Linked DNA regions of Kluyveromyces lactis. The protein of the gene in region 1 interacts with the protein of each later gene in a pairwise test. Links are inferred from orthologs where the notes say so. Each region holds a gene or a part of one and is shown on either strand. Other genes may lie near its edges.

What was found.
Region 2: the proteins of RPN9 (region 1) and RPN6 interact in binary tests that used the Saccharomyces cerevisiae proteins (3 or more experiments, as listed by UniProt). The link is inferred for Kluyveromyces lactis from reciprocal best matches to the Saccharomyces cerevisiae genes RPN9 and RPN6.

What each region holds. Positions count from the first base shown.
Region 1 is NC_006038.1:63,077-66,129, reverse strand, and holds RPN9 (proteasome regulatory particle lid subunit RPN9), read right to left. Parts: upstream 1,847-3,053; coding exon 662-1,846; downstream 1-661. Other genes in the region: TIF35 (translation initiation factor eIF3 core subunit g), read left to right, coding at 1-147; SNX41 (Snx41p), read right to left, coding at 2,148-3,053. UniProt on the Saccharomyces cerevisiae protein: Acts as a regulatory subunit of the 26S proteasome which is involved in the ATP-dependent degradation of ubiquitinated proteins.
Region 2 is NC_006041.1:136,601-139,998, forward strand, and holds RPN6 (proteasome regulatory particle lid subunit RPN6), read left to right. Parts: upstream 1-1,596; coding exon 1,597-2,874; downstream 2,875-3,398. Other genes in the region: dolichyl-phosphate-mannose-protein mannosyltransferase PMT1, read right to left, coding at 1-607; TPP1 (polynucleotide 3'-phosphatase), read right to left, coding at 2,968-3,398. UniProt on the Saccharomyces cerevisiae protein: Component of the lid subcomplex of the 26S proteasome, a multiprotein complex involved in the ATP-dependent degradation of ubiquitinated proteins. In the complex, RPN6 is required for proteasome assembly.

The sequences.
Region 1 (3,053 bases):
ACTGGTAGATCCCGTGGTGTTGCTTACGTTACTTTCCAAACTGAAGAAATTGCTGCTCAAGCTTTGAAATTATTGGAAGGCAGAGGTTTCATGAATTTCATGTTACACGCAGAATGGTCTAAGCCAAAACCAAAGAAAGAAGAATGATAAACTGTAAGAACTCGCTGATCAAACTGATATAGTATTTTTTGAAGAGAAAAACTACTTCAAAACTAAGTTCTAAACCCATTATTTCAATACCAAGGTCTCTTTACTTCTACCTTCAAAGTTGTTGCATCTTATCTTACAGCTTATTTGTTCCCTACAATTTATCCCATTCCTTTCATAACATGGGATATCTCTGCGTAGCGTGACGTATGTGTATCCTAATAATCTTACTTCCTGGTTGAACAAATGAGCATATCACTCAGCATCATACGGTTATATTATATGACATTCTTTGACCCATTTTGCTCTCGAACGATACAATAGCATATGTGTATAATTACTACATTCGAGTACTATGTGTGTTACGTATCTACCTGTATATTACAAACTCCAAGATATATCGTCTAACTCTTTCAGAAATTCAAACCGATCAATGAAACATGTTGGTGGATTTCGTTTTTCATAGATATTAAGCGGATGTACGTAGTATATAATATGTGACGATACTTAAGCATTATACCCAAATACTTTTACCCCTTCCTTCAATCTTATTACCCAATTTCGACACTTCATCTTGCCATTTTATCAAGTTATCTTTCATTTTTTTAATTTGCTCTTGGTTGATGATCCTAGGCTGAACCCACGTAATTGTAACCAATTGTTGGACTTGATCTATTGATCCCTTCAACAATCCTAAGCTGATACTTCTCATTACTAAATGTTCAACACTGTCGATAGGTAAAAATGTGGCATCTGCAATATCGCGGAAAGACAACGTTCTGATAGACTTTGCAAACACGCTTTCTACTAGAGTCATCAAACAAATCTTTTGTCTCAAGAATGACTCATGTTGAGCTAAGATTGGTACCTTGGGAATTCTTTCTTTTGAAATTTGATCAAACTTTTGGAAATCCCCTTCAGTTAATGCGTTCAAGAATCTGAATAACCATTCGTATTCTTTATCGTTTGAAATACTTGAAATAATTGGATGCTGAAGTAGTTCACCGAAATTATAGATATTGTCACCTAACAATGCTGCAATGCACAAATTGTATGCCAATTGTTGTTGTTCGAGTTGTGTCAATCGCTGCTGTTGTTCTTCCGAAGTGATTGTTGAGAGATATAAAAGACTGGTATAATAGAAATTGTTGAAGTCTTTCTTTACTTGGTAATAGGAAGCGTTACACGAGTAGTAGGCACCGGTAACTCTGAGAGGTACCGAATCTTGAACATCAAGTGTTTTCCCAATAGCGTCTAGGATGTCTCTGACCTCAACTAGGTCCCCCTTTTCCAATTTCACACGAGCAATCTCAATATCTAACAACAAGTTCCCATTTACATGAGGTTTTAAACCATCGTTTCTTTGCTTCTTTTCATCAATTTCTTTGAATTCCTTTTGAAGATCCTTTAGATATTGTAATGATTCTTCTGTGTCATCGTTTTCTTGTAATGCTTGCAACAAAAACTCAACAACATTCAATTGGTTTATCTTGTCAATGAACTTACTGACAAATTGGGTATAAAGGCGAAGTCTGAACGATTCTGATTTGCTATCATGGAAAAAAATCGCTAGCTTCTCAGTTAACTGATGCCATAGCTTCCTCTCATACAAGTCTTCAAAATCGTCGAATAATGGGGCCAATTCACTATTGACTTCCTGCTTCAATGTAGATAATATGGTGTCAATTTCGTGTGTCATATTTTGACTATTTAAGCTTGCTGAAGTGCTGTTAGTCGTGCGATGTATGCCTTAATCTATAATCTTTAATATTCTGTTCGCCACCTTACATTTCAGAAGGTGTATCGATCTATATATTTCATATTTACAAAACGTCAATCGAAGCATGAAAGTCGTTAATAATGACAATTCTCCAAACAAATGCTGTGAGAAGTGGATGAACTAGATATGTGACAGCAAATCATCTCCATCTGCACTTTCATCATCAAATAATGTAGTTCAATGCAATACTTCATGCCTTTCTTTTTGAGATATAAACCTTTTATATGCTATCTATAGACTGTTTGGCATTTTTCCAAGACTCTGAACAATCCTTTAACCATGATGTTATATTGTGGGCTAGTTCGCGGAAAATGAGGAACCACTTCTCATGGAAATATTTCTCTAAGTTATTCAAAGAGTTATCCATTGACTCATTGACTTGTTGTAAGTCCTTTTCGATGAGTTTGAAACATTCATTCAGTTTTTCAAGTTCCTTTTCTAGTTTGTTTACCTGTACAACCCGTTCGTCTTTAGTTAGAAGATGAGGTTCGACTTCACTTGAAATCGAATCAGATCCAGACTTGTTGTTTGGAGATGCTGATGACCTGAAAAGCCCCATTATCTGTTTGTCCGTGTGATTCTTGTTTGCTGACTTACGCGTCATGGAGTCCATAACTTGAGCAACGGTGGGTGATTCCTCTGCATTTAATTTCAATGCCTCGCCCAATCGTACAGCTTGTAGGTCTGCCTCTTTCAATTCACGGATTCTATCTTTCCTCTTCTTTATCGTAGTTTCAATTGTGTAAAATTGTTCTTGCTTGAAATTTCTGAAGTGAAGAACTCTTTGTGCTTCATGAATGAACTGAAGCATTTCTTTGCTTCCCTCTTCTAGACTGATCATGATTGCTTCACTAAATATCTCTGCACTAACATAATTCACATCGATTGCTTGACCTGTCTTCTCTATTCCCATCGATAGACGATTCATTTGTTCAAATAATGCACTCACTTGAAACACGCTATTCTCTAGACTGAACGCGTTGAAATACGCGCCGAGTTCAGATAAAACAGCCGAATAAGTTTGAATATTCGACCTTATACTTCTAACGGTCTTGTTCAAAGGTTGTAGGATCGCCTTGTACCTGATGAGATCTGAATCGTAATCCGCGAACTTGATCTCCATCAC
Region 2 (3,398 bases), on another chromosome or scaffold:
CAGCAGCAATGAAGAAGATCAATGGTGCGTCCAATAGAATGTATCTAGAAATGGTAACGAAAGAGTTTTCCAATGCGAACATCAAAGAAGCTACGAAAGCAATCCAAATTCTGATACCAGAAGCACGCAAGGTGAAGTACATCAAGAGCACTGTAGCCAAACCTAGAAACGCAGAGAAGAATCTCATAGCGAAGTATGGAGTGGAAGCTGGGAATGCAAGACCAATATCCTTGAATTCAAAATCACCGGTGAAACCAGCCAATGATCCAATACCAGCAAAAAGCATCTTAGCTAACGGAGGATGGACGTCGGTAAAGAAGATACCCTTAATGTATTTAGCTGCGAATTTACCGAAATGAACTTCATCGAAAACAACGGAATTTGGATCCGAAAGGTTCCAAAGTCTCACAACGGATGCGATAACAGCCAATGCAATAACAACCAAACGTTCTTTACTAGAAGTCATCGTACGGATAGATTTCAAATTCTTTGGTGGCTCAGTGACCAAGAAAGGTCTCAATGGACCTTTCTCAACTTGAATGTCACCAACGCTATCAACATCGAGAACACAATCTTGTACTTTAGTAGAGGTCTTAGTCTTACCCATTTTCTACAACAAAATCAAACAGAGAGTGAGACTGAGATACCTTTACAATGAGAAATACAATCAATGATCAGATCAGATCAGATACAGATACAGACAACAGATGTTTTCTCACTTCGAAAAAGCCTTGGAAATGGTAACTAAATGTTTGAGAAGAGAGAACAAAAAAAAACCAATTCAAAAATTCAATTCCAGTTCAAAGGTCCCAATTGAAATTGTCTAGCTCCTATCTAAGTTTCCCACAGATACTGGTCGACTGATACCTCTATCTGCAAAAGAAAACCTAAGTTTATTCCACCCAAAACTTGCCAAAATGAACACGTCTCTGTTTAATTTCATCCATACTATTATTTCAAATATATTTATATAATATTTACCCATACCGAGCTTTCAGTGAAATTAAGTTTTTTTTCTTTCAGATATCTACAAATAGGTGATTTTAGGTGTTTGAGGTGAAAATTATGAGTTACAGGTGTGTAATTGCTGCAGAACATGTGAGAGACAATGAACCTGAGGATGTGGATTACCAGTACCGATCAGCATATGCGGCAGATGAGAGTGAGGAGTTTAAAGATTGGCTGAAGTGAATGCAGTGAAGGGTCTTTCACGTGCTATTCTCGAGGAATGGTAAACACATCACGGAGGACGAAACGCGACTATTTTTCCTTTTTTTCGTGCGGATGTATCTGTGCTAAGATTAGGACAGTAAAGGAAATCTAATTTCGATTCACGTGACGTATAAGTCACGTGAATAGTCTACCCTTATTCAAGTTACGTACCAAATGATCGCCTTGAATTGAACCAGTTTCTGTAGTAGAATGATATATATAATCTTGTCCAAGAGATTATAGTTAAAGTAAATTAAATAAGGTGGCAAACCGAAAACATCGAGGTAGACACAATTGGCGCTACACCTGCCAGAGATCGTCTAGCAGAAGCTGAAGTTAAACTACGAAAGGAACAGGAAAGAAAGCAAATAATCCCACTTAGATATGTCGTTGGAAGAAGCTAGAAATCTTGTAGGGAAGGAAGATTATGAGAAGGCTGAAGCGCAGTTCTTAGCAGTATTGAACCATCAAGATGCCGCACAACCCCAATCAATTAGCAATAAAGATGCTCAAGAAAAGGAACAATGTATTCTTGAGCTAGGTCAATTGTATGGTACCACACATCAGTTGAAGAAACTCGCCGAGTTTGTACCACGCTCTCGTGAATACATGATGAAAGTAGCGAAATCAAAGATTGCCAAAGTTTTAAAGACGTTACTTAACGATTTCGAATTGATACCCGATTCCTTGGATACCCAAATCGAGATATGCGAAGATTCGATCGACTTTGCCACAAAGGAGAAGAGAATCTTTTTAAAGCATTCTCTATCGATTAGGTTGGCAACTCTTTACTACCAAAAGACGCATTACAACGAATCCTTGCAATTGATCAATGATTTGTTGAGGCAGTTTAAGAAATTGGACGATAAATCGTCTTTGCTCGAAGTTCATCTATTGGAATGTAAAGTGTACCATAAATTAAGAAATTTGACTAAATCAAAGGCTGCTTTGACAAGTGCTAGAACATCCGCAAATTCGATTTATTGTCCAACATTGACAATGGCAGAATTGGATTTAATGAGTGGTATCTTACACTGTGAAGACAAAGATTATAAGACTGCTTTCTCATACTTTTATGAATCCTTTGAAGCCTTCCACAGCCAAACTGGCTCAAACACATTCGGAAAAGCTTGTCAAGTGCTAAAGTATATGCTTCTTTCAAAGATCATGCTTAATTTGATTGATGAAGTGAAAACTATCTTGAACGCCAAATATACTAAGGAGACCTACCAAAGTCGCGGAATTGACGCCATGAAGGCAGTCGCTGAGGCTTATAATAATAGATCCCTACTGGAGTTCAATACAGCAATGCAAAATTATAAGACAGAATTGATGGGCGATGAACTCATTAGATCACATTTCAATGCATTATACGACACCCTTTTGGAATCAAATCTTAGTAAGATCATCGAACCATTCGAATGTGTTGAAGTATCGCATATCTCAAAGATTATCGGGCTTGATGCTCAACAAGTAGAGGGCAAACTTTCACAAATGATTTTAGACAAAGTTTTCTTTGGTGTGCTTGACCAAGGAAACGGATGGCTTTATATTTATGAGACACCACAACAGGATGCCACTTATGATTCTTCGTTAGAATTGATCAATCAACTCAATGGAGTTGTAGAACAACTCTTTGAAAAAGCCGCTGTATTATACTAAAATTAAAAATTCATTATAATACGCTCATCCTTCAATCATTAAAGTAACTTAGTAAATAAATATATTTTACGTAGGTTTAAGATCATTCGAAATTCAAATAAAGTATTCCTCCGGTACCTTGAAAGGTACGCCCAATATTTTAGCAAACTCTTTGTCACTGTCACTAAAATCATTTGGTCTTCCTGCAGCATCCCCGCAGTAAAATAAAAGTTCAATTGAGTCCGATTGTTCGTCAGAATCTTTAAGAAATTCATCAAACAAACCACGATTGGGTTTTCTCACATTATCAAACATTTCAGGTGTTACCATTGTCCCGTTTATTCTTTTCTTCTGGCCAGAAATAATGTTCTTAACAACTTTATTTGCGTGAGCAGTGCTGGCGGCTTTGCTGCCACCAAAAAGGGAAGCTGGTTTTTTAGTAGCACAGTAAATCCAAATACGATCACACAGTTGAGAATCGTTTTCCGATATGTATTTCAATACTTTGCAAATTTTATCAACGTGTTTTACGCAGCTTTTAGAGG